Caenorhabditis elegans: one gene and its partners. The protein of the gene in region 1 purifies or fractionates together with the protein of each later gene. This does not show direct contact. Each region holds a gene or a part of one and is shown in the gene's direction. Other genes may lie near its edges.

What was found.
Region 2: the proteins of maoc-1 (region 1) and hpd-1 fractionate together in Caenorhabditis elegans (co-fractionation; one large-scale study listed by BioGRID). This does not show direct contact.
Region 3: the proteins of maoc-1 (region 1) and ttr-35 fractionate together in Caenorhabditis elegans (co-fractionation; one large-scale study listed by BioGRID). This does not show direct contact.

Annotation. Positions count from the first base shown.
Region 1 is NC_003280.10:7,192,644-7,200,471, forward strand, and holds maoc-1 (MaoC-like domain-containing protein), read left to right. Parts: upstream 1-3,632; 5' UTR 3,633-3,694; coding exon 3,695-3,782; intron 3,783-3,830; coding exon 3,831-3,972; intron 3,973-4,018; coding exon 4,019-4,496; intron 4,497-4,559; coding exon 4,560-4,748; 3' UTR 4,749-4,852; downstream 4,853-7,828. Other genes in the region: acdh-12 (Very long-chain specific acyl-CoA dehydrogenase, mitochondrial), read right to left, coding at 1-86, 143-291, 336-472, 518-1,233, 1,282-1,395, 1,443-1,758, 1,806-1,909, 1,956-2,120; E04F6.6 (uncharacterized protein), read right to left, coding at 4,878-5,111, 5,266-5,598, 5,650-5,899, 5,947-6,084, 6,130-6,291, 6,337-6,435, 6,631-6,722.
Region 2 is NC_003281.10:10,533,080-10,540,441, forward strand, and holds hpd-1 (4-hydroxyphenylpyruvate dioxygenase), read left to right. Parts: upstream 1-2,446; 5' UTR 2,447-2,468; coding exon 2,469-2,879; intron 2,880-3,041; coding exon 3,042-3,338; intron 3,339-3,950; coding exon 3,951-4,424; 3' UTR 4,425-4,604; downstream 4,605-7,362. Other genes in the region: nlp-68 (Neuropeptide-like protein 68), read right to left, coding at 5,251-5,284, 5,623-5,695, 5,752-6,082. UniProt on the Caenorhabditis elegans protein: Key enzyme in the degradation of tyrosine.
Region 3 is NC_003284.9:6,509,692-6,515,676, forward strand, and holds ttr-35 (Transthyretin-like family protein), read left to right. Parts: upstream 1-2,593; 5' UTR 2,594-2,595; coding exon 2,596-2,685; intron 2,686-2,730; coding exon 2,731-2,940; intron 2,941-2,983; coding exon 2,984-3,121; 3' UTR 3,122-3,227; downstream 3,228-5,985. Other genes in the region: glr-8 (Ionotropic glutamate receptor L-glutamate and glycine-binding domain-containing protein), read left to right, coding at 1-173; ttr-36 (Transthyretin-like family protein), read left to right, coding at 1,246-1,390, 1,444-1,580, 1,623-1,721, 2,427-2,465.

The DNA of each region.
Region 1 (7,828 bases):
GCCAATGATTCAATTGTTGCTACCTTCGAAGCATTCTCAACACCACTTCCGGCATCCTTCAGGAATCTGTTTGATGATTTCATCGCCTGAAAGAGTAAATATCGAAATTAAAACTTAAAATTTGGCAGTTATCAAAAATTACCTTATCAACGTAGTAAGTAGCAACTTTGCGTTCAAAATCAGCACTTGAAGATTTGTTCTTGATGGCATAGGTGGCACGAGAAAGAACAGCGGCAGAGCTGTAAATGTTGATGGCAGCGTCGGCAACACGGTGCATCTCATATTGACGATCTACAAAAATTAAAATTAAAAGCAGTTCAAAGGTATTTTATTACCAATTATTCCCTTTTTATGCTTCATGAGTAATCCTTGAACTGTTTGTCCAAACAAAGCAATTTGCTGATCCAATACTTTAGCTGAATCTTGAAGACTTGCGTCGACGACTTGCCCAAAGTTGGAGCCAGTGTTTCCTCTGAAAAATACAGTTTAATAATTCTAAAAATGTGATTTCACAAACCCGGTAACTCTTGAAACAGCCAACCCAATAAGGCCCCCGACTCCAGAAGCTTGCTCGGCAAGATGCTTTCCAGCATGTTGTGCTCCAGTAAGAGCAATGAAGAGGCGGAGAACATCATTGGCTCCTTCAAAGATTCTGAAGATACGAAGATCTCGGAGAACTCTTTCAAGACCAGTCTCGCGCATGAATCCCATTCCTCCGTGAACTTGAATAGCATCGTCGCATACAAGCCAAGCATTTTCTGAAGCTAGAACCTTGCCGATAGCTGCTTCAAGTTGATACTCCTTAATTCCACGATCCATGTTTGATGAAAGCATATAGACAATTGACTCTGTTGCATACAGTTTCGAGATCATTTCTACCAGCTTTTCTTGGATATTTCCAAATTCTTGAAGTTTCTTTCCAAACTGAACACGAGTGGTGATGTGATCGACAGTCTTCTGGATACAATGTTTCATAGCTCCAGTACAGGCAGCTGGAATTCCGAATCTTCCGTTATTAAGAATGTTCATCGCCACCTTGAAGCCTTCTCCTTCTTTTCCAAGAAGATTTTCAACCGGGATTTTTAAATTATCAAAGTGAACTTCAGTTGTGTTCGATCCCTTGATTCCCATTTTCTTCTCTTGTGGTCCACTGGTGACTCCACCAAACGCTCTTTCGACAATGAATGCAGACATCTTGTCCTTTGTTGAGCCATCGGCCTGCTTGACAGGAGTCTGAATAATCAATTGTGAAAGTTTTTCCAAAAAATGAAAATAAATTACCTGAGCAAACACAGTGAAAACATCGGCGAATCCTCCGTTCGAAATCCAGATTTTTCCACCATTCAAAACGTAGTGCTTACCATCAGCAGACAATTCAGCTCTCGTTCTAACTGACTGAATAAATTTAAAGTTTATGAGAAATTAATAATATTCTAGCTTACACTAGCATCAGATCCGGTAGTTGGCTCGGTAAGAGCGAAAGCAGCAAATTTGCGTCCAGTTGCCAAATCGGGAAGATATTTTTGTTTCTGAGCATCCGTACCCTCGAGAAGGATTCCTTTGTAGCCAATCGACTGATGAGCACCCATGACAACACCAAATCCAAGATCGTAAGCTCCAACAATTTCAGCGACTCTGGCCATCTGAGAATTGTTGAATCCGGAACCTTCAAGCTCTGGTGGAACGAGTACACCAAATGTTCCTAGCTCAGCGAATTGGTCCAAAACTGCTCTTGGAATGTCAGAAGTCTCGTCATTTCTGAAAATAAATAAATTGATCATGTAAATTTAAGATTTATTATTCACTTTACGACGTCATTAACTTCGACAAGCATCTTTTCCAGTGGAGACATCACCATTCCAAGAGTTTCTTTCTGTTCGTCAGTCATATTCAGAGGATACGGAAACACCTGGAAATTGGCAGTTTGAACAGGTCCTGCTAAAATTCTCAAATACCTGGTCAGTCACAGCTTTCCCTCTGAAAAGATTCATGACAAATGATGGACTGTCCACTGCAGCGACCTTCTTCGGTTTTGCATCTTTTGCAGCAGCAGCAGAATGCGAAAGACGAATGAATCGTGTTTGGTTGAGCCGTGCAGATTTACTCAGCGTTGACAGCATCGTTTCTCTGGAAGAAAAAACCAATAATATAGGTTTCAATCAGTGAATCAGTAGGGGGTAAATAGCGATGACGGAGATAAAGAGTGAAGAAAACAACTTGGGGGTCGAACGGTGGATAGAGCAGAGACGCAGCATGTGAGAGAACATAGAACACAGACATAACAATACTTTTTTACACTGAACGTCCAAGAGCAATCAAAATAAATAGAATTCAGAATAAGTTTTATAGAAAAGTATTTAGCATTTTATATGAACGCAAAAAAGAACGAATAGGTTTTTTGCTTTTTTTGGATTACATAAAAGAGTGTTTCATAAAATAAGAAGTTTAAAAGTTAACTAAAAATAACTGGAAACATGGTTTGCTCAGTATTTTTCGTAAATTTTCCATAATAAACTGATTAATCGCCAACATACACAAACGATGGAGAGGAAACGTGGAGGACGGTCATTGTTATCTCTTGTAGACTTTGCCCTATGTACTTTGAACGGCCCTGGCTACGCACTAGTGAAAAGACAATGTGATAAAATACACTTTAGCGCAGGTTCGATGAAATTTTCAAGAAAAACATGATTTTATAGCTCTACGGGTCACCTCATGGTACTGAAAAATTCGTATGAACACTTGTTGTCTTATATTTTATCTTTAACGGCCACAAAATAAATTAAAATAGAAAAAAAACGACAATTACAGAAGTTTTCTGCATCGTACTCTGAAAGAAAAATGAATCCGCAATCTGTCGTCACGGTGTTACGGTGGTGTGTTCACACCGTCGGCACTATATTTGACGGCTCATGTTTTAATGTTTTTTACATCTGAATAAATCTGTACATTATAGAAACGAACCGTATGGAATTTGGAATTCTTTCAATGTACGAAAGTGAACGAGTGAAAATATAAACTAATTTAGCGAATGCACAAGTTTGAAAACGTGTGAATTTTTCGGAAGGCTTTTACGCGAAAAAATAAGCTTTATTTTTTTAATTAAAGAAAGAGAAATGGTTCGTAGAATGGATACTGTAATTTAGCTATTTAACAGTCGACAAACAATCCTTGGTTGTTTAAATATCGGAAAAAATAAATCGACCTTCCATGTTAATTTTATTGAACAGACGACAAGGCGTCATAGGTATTTGATGAATGTTTCTGAATTAAGAGAAATCTGAAACTGGTCTATTAATTTTTGTGCGTGCTTCGCTTCAAAATTCAAAACGAAGGAAATTTATTCGATCATTTTCTATAAGTTGAAACCCAAATACTATAGTATACTATGAACACGTTGTACATCTCTCCCGACAAAAGTCTAGTTTTTATATATTTTTTAATTGAAATTTAAAGCCTTGTATACTTTTTTTGCAAATTATTTAAAACATCTAATAATTATCAGTATGTGGTAATAATTCTTTTAGTGCTTATTTTTAAAAAAAAACTATTGATTTCACCCTCGTTATGTAGTCTGCAGCGTAGTCTTATCAACACATGGGGTCAAGACTACACTGTACCGATTCCTTGTTAGGTATTGGCATTTTCTATTTCATTATTTGGTTTTTGTTTCTTCTCCGACAAATACTTAAAAATGGATAAGAAAACTGCTTGCGCACATGTGGCAGAGCCATGCGAGTTCTCATATTCTACCAGAGATGCTATTATTTATGCTCTTGGAGGTAATTTTTTCTAAGACCTTTTGAATAGTGATTAATAATTTCATTTAGTTGGTGCTCGAGCGAAAGAAGATTTGTGCTACGTTTATGAGAACCATGAAGACTTTAAAGTGCTTCCATCGTACATTGTTGCTCCAGGATTTCAAGCTCACACTTTGATGGATTGGCCAGGAGTTGAATTTGATCTTCAGAGGTTTTTCTTATAAGATTTCTTGAAAACACATGTTTAATCATTTTAGAGTTCTTCACGGAGAACAATATATTGAAGTCTATCAACCACTTTCAGCAGAAGGAAAATTGAAATCTGAAGCTAGAGTCGTTGATATTCTTGACAAAGGATCCGGTGCTTTGATTCTTGGAAATGTTACCACTTATGATGAAAATGGAAAGAAGATTGCAATGCAACAATTCAGTACTTTTCAAACCGGTTCTGGTAACTTCGGAGGGGATCGTACATCACCTCATGAAATAAAAGCTGCCACTGTCCCAGATAGAGCTCCAGATGCAGTTATTGAACAAAAGACAACAGTTGATCAAGCTGCTCTTTATCGTTTGGGATCAGGAGATATGAATCCTCTTCACGTTGATCCAGAGTTTGCTAAGATGTCTGGATTCAAAACTCCAATTCTTCATGGATTGTGCAGTCTGGGATTTGCGACACGCCATGTTATCGCTGCTTGGGCTGGAAATGATTCTGACAAATTCAAAGCAATCAAGGTAGGTTTGATTAAATTTAACTTTAAAATATTTTCTGCTGATTCAAAAATCATTAATTTTCAGGTTCGATTCTCATCGCCAGTGCTTCCAGGACAAACATTGGTTACTGAAACCTGGAAGAATGGAAAACGAATTATTTTCCAAATGAAGGTTAAGGAAACTGGAAAAATTGTAATTTCCAACGCCTTTATTGACTTGCACGAGGCTTCCGAACTTCCAACAGTTCCAATTGATCTTGCATCAAAATTGTAAAAATTTAAAGAATTATTTATTCACTGGTAAGATTAAGTAGATCGTATTAGTTTTATCGTATTTTGTTTCCTGAATATCATATGTGAATAAACCGTTTTTTTCTTTTTCCACAAATTCTCTTGAAGATTATTATTTCCTTTTCTTCTTCCCAACAATATCATTGACTCCTGGGAATGTTACACCAACACCTGTATTCACCCCAACACCAGCCATCGGAACACCAACTCCAAAGTTTGTACCAACTTGACCATTTAGATAATCAACTCCAACGTGTTGATTCTGTTGATAATAAGGTCCAACTCCACCTCCAACATCTACGCCAATTGGTTTTCCAGCCTCTCCAGGTTTAAGGGGAACACTCACCTGAAATATTTTGATAGGAACTTATTCAACTTGTCACACACCGCTTCAAATATTAAAAAATGTACGCAATGCTTCTCTAAACTCGAATTCAAATTATGAACCGCCAAATTTGAAAAAGTTCGAGTAATAAATTTTCTGCATTAAAAAAACTCACAACAGCATGTGTGTCTCCTTCAATACCAAGTGATTGTACAAGTGGAACACTCCATCCAGACTTATATCCATATTTTCCTTCATACCAATTTGCTCCGATTTCTTGATATTGTGACCAATAGTCTCTTACACCAATATGATCGGAATAACCTCCTCCCCATGAACCAAATGGAACATTCATGAGCCTTCCTGCTCCAATTGCTCCTTCTTCGTTAATTGGATAGTACGGAATTCCTTTCACACTCCATGTTCCCAAGTTGAGACCTACATTTGAATCAAATGCATATGCAATATTATAAAGTGGATCTGACTTTGGAAGGAATCGTTGACAATCCTAAAGTAAAACCATTCAAATATAATATAAATTCAATTTCTAGAAACTCACATGGAAGTATCCCTTACATTTGCTTCCATACTTTTCCTCTGTCTTATTCCCACCGAAACAATGCTTCCTGACAGTTGGTAAAAATCGATTGCACAGTGCTTCCAAGTGTAAAGCTTTTCTGTGTACATCTGCATCTTCTGGACGTGGTTCAATTGCTGATGGTGGTCTATTCACAATCATTCCTCGAACATCAGCTGCCTTTGCCTTCTGATCAATCTGTGACTTATCAGTTATACCTCCAAATGGTGAACTGAAATATCAGACGATTATGAATATTTTCTGAATTATTAGAGGTACCTTGGTCTCTGAGATACTTCACTGTTATCAATATCAGCTCGATCAACTCCAAGAGCAGAGCTCCTCAATCCAAATTCTTCCATATTTTGTGCAAATCGTTGTTTTTCCTTTTCTTGTTGAGCAAGAAGTTGGTTATAACTTTAAAATAAAGTTTTGAATATTTCCAAAGTTTCAATTACTCACCGACTAACATGTGTATTAATTGCATACTGCTTCATTCGATCGAAATAATCCTGATAATATTGGTCTGAAGCAGCCTGTCGAGCCTTATTCGCTTCTTTTCTCTGTTGTCTCCATTGTTCCATCTGTCTCTCGTAAGCATCATCGTAACTTGGACGCCGATGTCTGGAACATATAACTTATTTCTGGATCTTCAATTATCTCGCTCACCTATGCCTTCTTCTAGGTTTTTGGGTTGTCTGTTCTACTTGTCCCCGTGCGAATTCACTTGGAGAATGATTATAAACTGGTCTTCCAGGTGATGTGTCTCTAAATTGATTAAGTTATAAGACAATATCGGAATTTTTTTGGCAACTTTTTTACAGATTTGTCGAGCATAAAATTAATATAAAATTTGAAAAATATACTCACAAGACTTGTTTACGCTAAAAGACTTATCTATAAGTTTATTAAAAAATTCCGCGGAAATAAAAATTTTCAATAACTTTTTCTTTTTAAGCTTACTTTGAAATTGGAATTGGTTCACCTCCATCCTGAGGTCGAGCTTCACTTCTCCAAATCAATAAAATGAGGAATGGAAGTAGTTGACGAAACATCGTCAAAAAAGCTGAGAAGACAAAGCAGTACTGAGTTTAACTGATAAGGTTAGTTAGCAACAAAATAATGATTACTGCAGAGGGTTTCTCGACGTCTTCACTTCAAGTCAACCGCCCGTATGACCTTGCTGACCGGTAGAAAATAATAGATGATGTTGTAGTTTGTATAGCCTCCTATTGTCTAAGCATTGATAATAATCCTATGGTTTGTGATTAAGAGAATGATTGGAATTACATTGTGAACCAAGTGCGTGTGAAATCAAATATAAAATAAATTCCCAGAATCCTTCGTGTTGAGTCATGTTTTTTAAAGGGTTTTAAAATCTCAAATTATCTCAAATTATCTGAAAAACTTTCAAGGTACTATTTCGATAATACTGAAAATGCTTCAAAAAATCAGTTTCCCCAGTCGGGAATTTTTTGATATTTCTGGGAAAAAATATGTTTGTTAAATACAAAAAAGTGTACACCTTTAAGGAGTACTGTAGTTTCAAACTAGAACAGTTTTCATCGAGTTAACAGAAAAAACTGTTATTTTTTTAATCGAGAGAAAAACAATGAAAAAATGTGAAACTACAGTACTCTTTAAAGGCACACACTTTTTTGTATTTAATAAAAATGTGTCGTGTCGAGAGCAGATCCCGAATTTCTGGCTCAAAAATCGAAATTTTCGCGTATGTGACAGAACAAAAAATATTTTCTTCAATTATAACCAATACGAGGTTCACAAAAATAATAATTTCCTCTCATTCTGTCAGATATAGGCGGGTGTACCCTTTACAACAATAGTGACAGGCGAAACCCTCAAAGTGTCTGCCGCATCAAAGCGGGTGTATATATAAACAAGAGGAGAAGAGGGAGAAGGCCGCATGACGGCAAGGCGAGTACTCGCAGCCACGAAACGTTCCCTGTTGAGCGCGCTAACTGTGAGCGAAAGTCCCTGGACCACTGGCAGAAAGTGTCACCCTCTAGGTTGGGTACTCTTTGGAGTTTTAGTCATAGCACAGAGACGCTCCTTAGAACAGCATAGGGCCTACTCTGATCGTCATGCTTTTGCAACATTTTGAAAGTCGACAGGAAACGGTGCTCTGTGAACCATAAAATAT
Region 2 (7,362 bases), on another chromosome or scaffold:
TGTTTAAAGTTGGATAGGTACCCCTAATGTTGCCCTAATGATACTAAATGCTCAGCTTAACTAAATTTACTTAAACTCTGATGAGGCGTCATAGACTACCCAATGCAGATCAATCGTTTCAGAAATAGCACCATGGATTGTTAGTATTGCAAAACTCATTCACACTGATTTCTAAACCATAAAGCTATTACCCCCCTCTGCAACCTGTACTACGTGCAGACTTCCACCCACATAACTGACGCCTATTTTCAATTCAACACCGTCATTCTGATGATCGGCTTCCTTGAACAACCTCGTTTTCTTTCTTTTTTTATTCGCCCTCTCTCTTGCAATGCAAACAATCTCTTATCACCATATCAATGTCTGTGATTGCCTGAATCTCTAAAGTATTTCGTCGCTTCCTTTCCCGATATAGTTACATGTTATGTCAATTAAGTGTATGTGTGTGTAAGATAGGAGACAGAAACAACACCAAAAATGAATTTCAGGTGATGGTTTTCTTTGTCATGCTGACTGAAAACGTGTCAATTGGAAAATGATGGGTCAGGAATCCTGCCTATCTTGATAAACCGGGTGGTGGTGTCATTGATTTATAAGGGTACGCGTGGAAGAACGCGGATAATGATGATGAAATGTAGACAGAGAATGATTCATTATCATATCTCTATTGATATCATATTAAAATAATGTTGCCACGTGGCACTATACTTACCTTACTTGTTTTTGCTCAAGCTTTACAAAAGTGAGCCCGGAAACAAAAAAAAGTGAAACAAAAATCGGGTGTTTTTTTCAGAAAATTTGAATTTCCCACTAAAAATTGTCTTTCTCACAAAGTTTGAATTTTCCGCCAAAAATATTTTTATCAGAAATTTGAATTTCGTGCCAAATTTTTACCTCAGAAAATTTAAGTTTTTCTGCCGAAAATTGTTCTCAAAAATTTTTTCCCGCTGAAAATTATTTTTCAAAAAATTTGAATTTCCCGCCAAAAAAATTTCTTTAAAATTTGAACTTCCCGCAAATTTGAAGAACGTTGAACAGTTAGTCCGTGTGATTTGATCTACTCGATCTCATTGATAAGATCATATACCAAAATACTATACATCTATATTCCGACTACAAACTCCCATGACACCTCACCATTCTTCTCACCCCTCCCCTCAAGCATCTTCCGATCTTCAAAGAGTTTCGTCGCCAAATTAGGGTCTCCACAGCAGCAGCATCTTTCAACGAAACGATGCCGACCCACGTGCGTTATCAGTTTCTTTTGACCACATTGCATCACTATTTGTGGTCTCCTCAATGTCACGTGTCCAACTTCCCCCGCCCCCAGCCCGCCCCTTTCGACGTCGACTCATTTCAGTTTGTCGACGACGACGAAATTCGTGACGATCCGAATTTTGCGTGAGGGTGCTATAAAAGTCGGCACTTGCATTATGTGCAGTAACACAGTGCCACTATAGTCTACTAGCACTCAGATGTTGTTTACAGTTTTTTCTTCTTCTTTCTCTCTTTCATTTTGGCGAGTTGTATCTCGGTTCATATTGTAGATATTTATAAATTTTAAACTACAAAGCTTTGTCAAATGAATTTTTTCATATGCTACATAGTTTTAAAGCTTTTATGTTACATTTGTTACTATACAGTACTATTTGTAAACTATATTTACCTAGTTTTAAAATATTTCCAAAAAAATTTTATTTCGATATTGTTTTTAGACAACCCTTATGCCACCCCAATTTTCAAGACATACAATGCCGGTTAAGGGATTTTCCAGAAAGAGTTTAAATTTCAAAACGTTTACTAACAAGATGTGGTGTATTTTTTCCGTTCATTAAGCGGCAGACGACTTGCGGGCCAATTTTTTTAACATTAAATCTGCAATTATCTGTAACTCAAGTTGATGTTTTTATATAGAACATTTGAACAAAAATTGAATTGCCGGAATGGAAATTTTCGGCAAACCGGCAATTTGACAGAATTTAGAACTTCCGTCAAAACAGCAAATTGCTAATTTGCCGCAAAAATGGTAATTACGGAATATTTTCGGCAAATTGTGGCTGTGCACATTTTTTTTTTGGAAATTTTAGATTATCAATTTTATCATTTTTAAATCGGCAAAGATTATCAATTTAATTCTGCATAATTGTACGTATCCTATGAATGCTCCTACATCTATTTTAAAAAGCAAAAAATTTCCATGAAAAGATTTCGAAAAAACGGGCAAAAAATTTCCAAAAAGGCTTAGTTTCCGTCTTATAAAACATCCCTTTAAAAACTTCAGGCAAATTGTTATTCGGCAATTTGTCAAAAATCAAAGTTTCCGGCAAGTCCACAAACCGACAATTTGCCGAATTTTTTCGAAAAAAAAATTTGCCGAACTGCAATTGCTGCCCACCCCCCTGGACTTTTTTCTTCCTTTTTTATCCTTAAACTCTATAAATTCCAGAAAACTCAAAACTTCAATCAAAATGACTACATTCGACAAAGGAGCAAAACCAGATATCGGCACTTTTGTTGCATTCGACCATGTTAGATTTGTAGTCGGAAATGCTAAACAAGCTGCCTACTGGTATTGTGCAAACTTTGGCTTTGAGCCATTTGCCTATAAGGGGCTCGAGACAGGATCTAGAATTACTGCTCAACACGCTATTCGACAAGACAAAATCGTGTTCATTTTCGAGTCAGCATTGTTGCCTGATAATTCAGAACTCGGAAATCACCTTGTTCAACATGGAGATGGAGTTAAGGATGTGTGCTTTGAGGTTGAGGATCTTGATTCGATTATTGCACACGCAAAAGCTGCAGGAGCAACTATTGTGCATGATATTACTGAAGAGTCAGATGCTGATGGATCCATTCGATATGCTACGCTTAGAACGGTAAGAGACTTAAAAATAAAAATATCTTCAAAAATTCCGAAGTTGTTAAATTGCACTGAAGATTGACCAGGAAAATTTGGTGGAATTAAAAAATTTTTGAGAAAAAATTTTGACGAGAAATGCAAATTTCTAATAATCCAAACAATGAAATATTATTTTTAGTATGGAGAAACCGACCACACCTTGCTGGAACGTAAAAATTATCGTGGAGCATTCCTGCCCGGCTTCAAGGCTCATCCAATGCCAGCCACATTCTTCAAGACTCTTCCACGCGTTGGATTGAACTTCCTCGATCATTGTGTCGGTAATCAGCCAGACTTGCAAATGGACTCAGCTGTTCAGTGGTACGAGAAGGTGCTGAAATTCCATCGATTCTGGTCTGTTGATGATTCCATGATTCATACCGAGTACTCGGCTCTTCGTTCCATTGTTGTAACGAATTTCGAGGAGACTATTAAGGTTAGTTAATATAAAGAGATCGATGGAGTGCGGCTGTCCTGTGAGATGTCGGCTGCTAGTTTTTATTGTAAAGAAACAGCAGCCGACAAATCGCGGGTTTTAAAAAGACGCACGACCTTTTTTAATTCAAAAAATTATAGCAAGATTTCTTGTGGAAAATACATATTAGTAATTTTCAACAAAAAAAAATCAAGATATCGATTTGGTAAATACGGTGTCCTATGAGATGTCGGTTGCTAGTTAGTCTTTATAATCAATAGAAAAATAACAGCAGCCGACATATCGCGGGTTTTAATTTTTTTTTCTTGTGGAACAATTGTGTACTCTACGTGGGAAATGAATAATTGTAATTTTCGTGTAGTCCTCCAGGGCATTTTGAATATGGAATACTGAGTATCTAAACATTTTCAACATCTATTTCAGAAACCATTTTTTAATTTGAATACGACGAATGTTTTAAATATTCGATTTTTGGGAAAATAATTGAATTTTCAAATAATTGTGTTTTTTTTTCTGGCTCTCCAGAAAATTGACAAAATAATTTAAATTATTTTCTGAAAAACACTGAATAACATAGAAAATGCTTAAACTTTTAATACAAAAATTTTGCAGATGCCAATCAACGAGCCAGCCACATCGGACAAAAAGGCAATCTCCCAAATCCAGGAATACGTGGATTATTACGGAGGATCCGGTGTTCAACACATCGCACTCAACACATCCGACATCATTACTGCAATTGAAGCTCTTCGAGCCCGTGGCTGTGAATTCCTTTCCATTCCATCAAGCTACTACGATAACCTCAAGGAACGTCTCGCGGCTTCTTCAATGGTAGTTAAGGAGGATATGGATCGTCTTCAGAAGTTGCACATTTTGGTGGATTTCGATGAGAATGGGTATTTGCTCCAAATCTTCAGTAAGCCATGCCAGGACCGTCCGACACTATTCTTGGAGATTATTCAGCGACAGAATCATGAAGGATTCGGAGCCGGTAACTTTAAGGCTCTTTTCGAGTCTATTGAATTGGAACAGACAAAGAGAGGCAACTTGTTCTATGATAATGTTAAGGATGGAAATACTAAGTAACTTATATTTTTTTTATTTTGCAACGACACTTCGTTGCCAAGACCCAAAGTGAATTCCATGTGCCATGAGATTGTATTATAGTTCCCCCTAACAAAGATACCCATTCCCACAACGGTTTCCTGTTTTTTCTATTGATTCTTGTTGCATTTATATTGAGAGAATAAAGATTTTATGAAAGAATTGTTGAGTCTTAATATCAAAACAAATGTGGAACCCGTGGGTCGTCGGCCGCTGCTTTTTAACACATGCGGCGAGGTGACGCCATGAGGCAGGCGCAGGCACCGTTACGGCGACCTCATGAGAGCCCTAAATTTTGCATATAAATGGTCGGCTTTAGTCAATCTCAATTTGTGCACTAAAACTTATGACTGAAAATCCACTTTTTCTGCTTGAACTTAGCGGATATGAAACTTTTTTTATTTGGTTTTTTTTACATTCTGAATGAACACAAAATTTGCAACAGAATGGCTACGGGGATGTTTGAAAAAGTTAGTTTGAAGCCAGATATTAATTTTTAAAAATTGGAAACGTCTTTCCTGATAATTCAAAATACTCATCGAACCATTTAACAATCTCAAACTCTGCCACGTGTTTATTGTTCTCGACAAAGAAATGGAAGGGGAAAAGGGGGTTCTGAGGAATGGTCTGGGGAATGGGAAAGGGCAAATAATATAGAGAAAAAAAACGGAAAGTGTCGTACCCAAATATGTGCACAAAAAAATTAAGGTTTCCTTTTGAAATTGTTGTTGTGTTTTTCAGAGTATTTCAACTGTTGATGGATTTCAGTTCGACCAAAAAATTGATGATGATGCTCTCTGTAGATGTTCTACCACGTGTAAATTAGTCGGTTTGGGCCATATCTGCGAAAAAAATATTTTTTTAAATGAAAGAAGTAAGCCGACCATTCAGATAATTTTGAAAGCACGCAGGCAGAAAGCTCGGCCACAGACTTGTTTTTCGCGGCCGTGTGGAGCTCCGTGAGTTGACACGTGGCCTAGGTTCACAAAAATTTTCACGGCCAACACTTTCTCTTTTTTACGAAGACCACGTGTCTTCAGTACAAATTTGTGGCCGAACGTTCTCTTTGTCGGCTTGCAATCAGCAAAATACTGCAAGCCTAAGTGTAGGCAGAGACGCTTGCCTATTAGAAGCGATTTAAGGCATTTGATTTGCGTGGGCGAAAAATCAAAGAACCTACCGTATCCTTCTCAGTGGATCCATAAATTGTCTGTGGGCGTCATCATTGAACTGGAGTAGCTCTTCAAGGAACACTGAAAAAAGAATCAAAAATTGAATTAGTCATTTTCTCAACAACAAAAAAACTCACTTTGTCCCCTCTTAAGAGGTGGCTCCCTCACACGAACCAGCGGAACCGTCTGTTTGGCAGCCGACGGATAGACGACGTCACCTCGTTTAAAATCCCCGCTCCGCTTCTTCAACGGCGGTTCTTTGATGAGCCGCGGAATGCTCATCGGATCGACGCCTCGTTTATCGCGGAGTGATGGGAAATCGGGAGTGTCGTCTTCGGAGGAGGAGGAAGTGAGAACCTCCAGGGGACCCAGAAGAAGTACCGTCGGTTGATCTTTGAGCAGTTCACGACGCATCACGCGCATACCGAATCCGACAGAGAACAGGCTGAACAATAAAACCAACAGCATCTGGAATTGTGAGAGTTGAGAATTGAAATAGGCTGATTCGGAGTATGAAACGAGTACAAGAATAGTTATAGAGAAGGGCATATTTTTTCTCGGAACTTTGAAAACTTAACTGGGTTTTAACATGGTTCAATGAACTCAATATAAACATGTATAAAAAATATAAATAAGATACAAACTAGCAAGGTGGTAAGTGCAAAATTAGTTAAAATGAACCGAAAAATTCTATAAAACTATGACTTGCATTATTCTTTATTGTGAAAAAACTATTTAAATTACATTTTTTACTGTATTGTAGTAAAAAGAGTTCGATATTTTGAAATTCAAAAAAGTTATCAAGTTTTGAAAAAAAAAGAACTATCATAAATATGTTCAGTTGTGAATTTTTGGTAAAATACAAAAAAAATCAGTTCCAGTTACAAAATAATTGAGATGGTAAAATAAATTAAAAGATTTTTCTGACATGGCACGTGATTTCTCAGAAGATTCTCAAAAATTTAAGTGTTGTAAAATGAATTAATGATTTATTGGGTTTAATTGAAAAAGGGGGAAATGGATCAGGAAAAGAATTTGGGACATAATGGGCTTCGGTCAGAATATGTCAACAAATAAGGTTTAGCCTAGGTCTAAATCAAGGCCTAAGGCTTAACCTCAGGTTAAACCCAAGGCTAAGCTTAAGCCTAATCCTAATCCTAAGTCTAAGGCCCAAGCCTAAGCCTAAACCAATGCCAAAAATTTTCCAAAAACAAGTATGATTAAGCGATTAAAATGACGAGAACTTTGTAAATGCCGGAAATGGGAGAAAGTAGGTCAAATGTCAGAGTAATCGGATCCACCAACAAAAAGAGCCCGTTGCCCGTCTGATGCTCAAACACTCACATCAACCCCACCACCACCCACCCCCCTTGAACCAGCTGTCGGAGTTGTTGGTGCAAAAATCGAGTGCATTACGAAATTCGAGACGTTGCTGTTGCTCTTCAGAGGCTCCCCCAGGCTCCACCCATTTTCTTAAGGGCGCTAACTAACATATTTTTTTTGGGTAAAACCTGGCACGCCAAACCACAAGTGGCCTATTTGCAACTGGCGGTGATTTTCAAGTTTAATGTGGGAAAATGACGAGCTGGGAAAAGAACACCCATTTTGAAAAGAAACTTGAAGATACGAGGTTTTCGCGAATTTTAAATTTTTTAGAAATTTGAAAAATATTTGATCGAATTCATTAGTTTTCAAAACAAAATTAAATTTTTTTTCAGAAAATCCTAAAGTTCGAGAAACTTCTAGGA
Region 3 (5,985 bases), on another chromosome or scaffold:
TGCCCCCAGAAGTTGCAACAGTTTCTGCGAATGTAGCTGAAAACTCTACTAGTTTAGATATCCCAGATGAAGTTCTGCCTTCTGCACCTTTACCGAGTGAAGATGGGAACTGGAGTTTACGCCGTCGAAATATACTTAATCTTTCTCTTGATTTATCAAATATCGCAAACTGATGAATCAATCTGATCTCTTCAATTCATTTTCCTATTGAACCATGTGGCTTTCCAAACGTTCGTAATGCAATAAATCGAGAGTCTTCGGACCAACTGTCGTCTTGTTTTCGGTCAACACGACGCCTTATGGCACCCCACTAGCTCATTTCACAACCACTTTCTTCAACGTTATCACTTGACCTCGCGTATTGATTATGATATTTTATCGCGTTTTATCTTTGATTTTATAACTTTCAGAAAACATTTAATTATAGACGTTAGACTTTAACCCCATTTCCAGTTTTTGTTTGATTATTATTTTTCTATTTTTTTTTTTTGAATATGATTCAAAAGACTAAAAGTCCAATGACTTTTTTTCTGAACGTCAAATAAGACACCATAAAGGAGGAGGTTCTGGTTTTTGTTTTGCTTGTACGTACGTAAAATGTGCTCAAATAAACAATATTCAAAATGAGACTTTTCAAAAGTTTCTCAAAATTTTTATGGTGGTTCAAAATTTAGAATAAACAGTTTTAACTAAATTCTCCAGTTTTGACAACTTTTTGTGTAGTACAATTTGGAAAATCGTTTTTATTTTATCATTACTTCTTGTATATATTGTGTGTTTATCTAACATTATCCCGTTTATTTAAATGCTTTTTGTGAATTGATTGATCAGCCACAAAAGATTTTTTAACCATTTCAGTAATTTATCAAAAAAACAAACATGTTGGGGTCTGTTGGGTCTCAAAACAATTAAAAATTTCAAAAACCAAAAAAAAACATTCGGTTTTGCACAGAGAAATTTGTACTTTTTACTCTATAATAGTTCATGATTTCTATACTCGGAAATGTGAGTTCAGACAAGTGACCCAAATCCATTTATCAAAATTTGAACAACACTGTCACTCAATTTTGATTTTATTGTGTTTGACTTAAATTTTCTCGGAACTGTCAACATTTCGTTATCTACTTCATTAACTCAACATTTCGTCTCTTTCAATAAATATTTTTTCTTGACAATTGATACCTTTTCTCGAAAACTAGATTATTTCCCAAAAATATGAAATTCAACTTTAAATTTCAGTAATAGATGATGAAGACTCTAGTTCTTACATTACTATTAATCGGTGGAGCATTTGCATTCCGTACTCAATCGACTGGAGTCAAAGGTAGACTCATGTGCGGAAGTAAACCAGCTGCTGGTGTGAACTTGAAACTTTTTGATGAAGATAATGGTTAGTGATCCTCGATTAATTGCAAGTTTGTGACGTACCAATTGAATTTCTAGGCCCAGACCCAGACGATGTATTGGATCAAAAAACAACCGATGACGATGGAAACTTTCTGTTGTCTGGGTCTTCAATGGAGCTGACACCAATTGATCCAGAACTAAGAATTTTCCATGACTGCAATGATCAAGGAAGCGTAGGTGCCAATTTGTAATATTAATTTTTAACCTTTTTTCAGCCTTGCCAACGAGAATGGGTTATCCGGATACCAGCAAAATACATTACTAATGGGCCAGAAGTGAAGGAAATCATGGATCTAGGAGTTTTAAATTTGGAGGTTGGTGATTGATTAAAAGTACTTTTGGTATTTATGGGTTTCGTCCCCCCCCCAAAGTGATTTCCATATTTTCTAATTGAGACGTGAACTTTTTCTTCATTCTCAGGCTTAGGGAAATTATTTTCTAAGCCTAAACATGAAAACAGTATTAAAATAAACATTCACGTGTGGATTAAAATTAAAAAGGTAGTGTTAAATAATTAAAAATCATTTTGGGGGGAACGAAACCGTGTACCGTACCTTTTTATTGTTTTGTGTTTTTATCAGGTTTTATAATAAGTTTTCGAAAAATTATTCGATATATAGGTGTGCGGCTCAACCTATATGTAAATCCTTGTATAGCCTATTTTATATTTACCGTATATCCTCTATTAGTAAGGCGTGCAAAACTAATTTTCGGACACCTAATTTGATGCAAAACTAATAGAGGTGCAAAACTAATAGAGAATATACGGTAATATAAATTTGACATGCTGATTTGAACGCTGCATAGTGTCGTCCGTGGGTATTTTGCTTTAAGTTGCATTGAGTTAAAGTGAAGGTGGGTCGGCAAAAAGAACCCCCTCACAATGTTTAGCAATATTATTAAAAAACAATGTTAATAATCATATTCAGTAATTGTTTTCAAGTTCAAATGAACGCAATGATTGAAAAGCTGGCAAATTTAATTTTCTAGTCAAAAATTATCAATCATATTTTTTTCAGATCGAATTGGACAACGAAAGTAGAAGCTGTGCTCACTAACTGAATAATGTTCAACTTTAACAAATAAATATGGTTCTTAAAATTGTTGTCATCTTTAATGTTTGGTTTCTGACCAACTTTTCTATCTTTTTTTTTTAATTTTCCTTATTAAAATTTGTATAATTCAGAGATGATTTCCAAACTTTTGATCCTTGGAACATGTGTTCTATCAGTTGTCTTGGCTGCATCGGAATCGCACTCTGGACGTCAAAACTACAGAGTGGGCTTTATCAGAAATTCAAATTATTTAGACAGTTTTTTTCAGGTGAAAGGCGCGTTTAGATGTGGCAATGTTCCAGTAAAAAATGTTCAAGTAAAGCTGATAGATGACGACTTTGGATCCGACCCTGATGATGATTTGGGTAGCGGCTATACAAACGCAAACGGAGAGTTCGAATTGAGTGGATCCACCACGGAACTCACAACTATTGATCCTCACCTGAAAATCTACCACGATTGTGATGACGGAATTAATGTAAGTTTCTAATTATTCATGCAACACAAAAACTTATTTTCAGCCATGCCAAAGACGTTGGAAGTTTGAATTGCCAAACAACTACATTTATTCGGACACTGACACACCGAAGACTTTTGATATTGGAATTTGGAATTTAGAAGGAATCCTTCCTGGAGAGAGCAGAGACTGCAATCATTAATTTTTAATTTGCCTTTTAAAAACTATTTGTATAAGTTAAATCATTCTAAAAAGCTATGTTTCGATTGAATTCGCATTATCAGTTTTGAAATGAAATTTTCTATTAATAGCGTCACACTTGATTAAAAAATTTGATCACATAAAATTTTAAGTCTAAAACTATATTTTTTAAAACTTTTATTCTCAAACTATTAAAAAAACGAACAATTTCTAGGTGCCAGGTAACAGGACTCTAAACAGCTCATGTGGCAAAAACACAAGCAAAATTATGATTACAAAAAAACATGTTAAAAACTTGAGGCACTGACCAGTTGGAACAAAAATTTGAAAATTTCTGGTTCATTTCTGGAGTTTTGGAATTTGCAATTTTTAATATTTAGTTTGCGAGCCGGTCGGTGCTAATGTAATTCTGCACAACTTTACTTGTAATGAAAACATATTTTGCCTAGATGAATAGAAAAAATTAGTTGATACTTGTATCTATCCGAATTGAGCTCAGCTTCCTTTGACCCGTAGTAGACCACAATATTTTAAAAGTTATCAGATAATCGGAGAGTTTATTGTTTTTGTGTTAAGTTGTTTGTAGTATGAAATTAATAGCAATATTTCATTTATAAGAAATCATACAAAAATATCGGTATTCTGAATTTAGATGTCAATGAGATTATTGTAATAGACGATATATTGAAAACGTCTTGTTATTTTCAGAATTTTGAGAATAAAGTTAAACTTTCAGTATGCACCTCCTTACTAACTATTTTTGAAAAGTATTTCACTTTTCCATATTCACTATCGCCTCCTTCAGCCTATTAAAGATGGCTTTTTTGAGGCCAAATATTCGGCGATGCTATCTTCCAAAAATTTTAAGTGTTGCGCATCTTGATGACGCTTCCAATACTGTCCGCGCATACCACCACTAGCTAACTTTCCTTTTTTAGAGAAAAAACCAACGTTTTCCATTTTTCTTCCATAATCTCGCTGACCGTCTTGCGTTTTTTTCTGACACGACATGCCACCGGCGTAGGATCGACGCTGTCTCCCGGCCGCGCCAATATATTTGTTGTAGTAGTGGAAGAGGCGAAAGTGAAACATGCTTTTTTATTGGTGACCACGACCCAGAACAGTAAGAGGTGAAGAGATTTGAAATCCGAAGGTGTTTCATCCGACCTATATTATTGGGTCTCATCTATTCATGCGAGTGTGCAAACAAATACTTTCTTCAACTCAAGCAAAATTTCACCGAACGCACTTTTATTGGGTCATTCACCTATATTGTCACTTTTCAAAAAAAAAGTTTCTGTTATATGGCTTAAAAAATTGTACATGCTTTTCCATTTTATATGTTTTCCGATTTCTACTAGGTGTTTTGGAAATCTGTTCTTGTAACTTGAATATTGATTTCATGTACTCCGTGCAGACCAAAATGTTTCGACATTTTACTAGGGTTTAAAGGCCAAAGCTAAATTATCCATCTTTTAGTTCAAAGTTTATAGCATCAAAAATACATAAACGATCAACAAACTGTCACAGTTTTGCCCGCTAATCATGTTTAATCATTTATATTTCAACATTGTACGGTCTGAACATGCAACATTGCATTAGATTTCTCGGTACCTGGTGCAAATTTAATTTGACTGGAAATAAAATACTTTGAAACGTTTTGTTAAAATATTGGGTAATTTCAGCACTATTTAAATGAATTTCTATGATTTCTTCACAGGTCGTAGTCATCATTTGATTAAATTGCCACCAACTCATACATATAAACAACTAACAAAATGCCAATCTTTTTTTATTGATATCGCTATCATCTTCTTCTTTTATCAAAGTCTACTCTAAGGTGTTGATATTGACGAATGACACCACAATCATTATCTCTTGCAAATGTGATAACTTTTATGACGCGAATCGCCACTAGCTTTAGAGATATGCAACAATGACGATGAAGGATCGGTTGCGCCGCCGAACAAGCGATAACAAATCTGACCCGACGACTCCATAACAATATCCACTTTCCTTATTTCCTGGTTGAAATTGTTGGGAACTTTTAGATTGGAAACTGAATTTTGCCATTAATCATCTTCTCAGATTTTTTCGGTTTCCATACAAACCTTCCAATTACCTCGTAACCGATCCTTCAATTTTGCACGGAGCTTTACTCGTTTTTTCATTTCTTTTTTGTTTCTAGCTTTTTCCTCAAAATTCATACTTCATCCCTATTCTTTCTCCTGATCATCCTCTTAAGCTGGACCTTTCGTTTTCATCAAGACTCGTCAAAAGGTGAAATGACAGTAAGTGTGGCGTTGTACACGTTTCTTTTCATACAGTAATAGTGTACACATCATCTTTTCTGCTTCTTCCTACCGATGTGTTTTTTCTTGCAAATGTCCGGGAAAGTGAACGAAAGTAAACTAGTCGGTAAAGAAAATCGTCGTTCATCCTACAGTCACCGTCTCCTTCACTATGTTTCCCTTCTTGACAACGACGCTCCGCAGAATCTTGTTGAAGTAAAAAGAGATCATGTGAAGAAGCCTACGGGTTACGAGGCAGACAGAGAAAATGAGAGAGACAGAAACATATCGTACACGGCTTCTTCGAGACAGACAACAAGGGAATACGAGAGAAGGAAAAGGCCACCCCAATGACCTGGATCCTCGCTCTTCACTCATTTCACTTTTCTCGTGACGCACCGCGCCAGCACTTTCACCTGAAATCGGCCTCCCTCATCTCTGTTTCGATCCCTCGTTAGGGGGCAAAATAGGGGCTAGATGGAGGGAATGAGTGAGAAGGAGGAGGGTGAGGAGGAGATGGGCCACTTTTCGGACAACATCAAAAAGTTTGACCTCTGACAAGAACACGATCCCT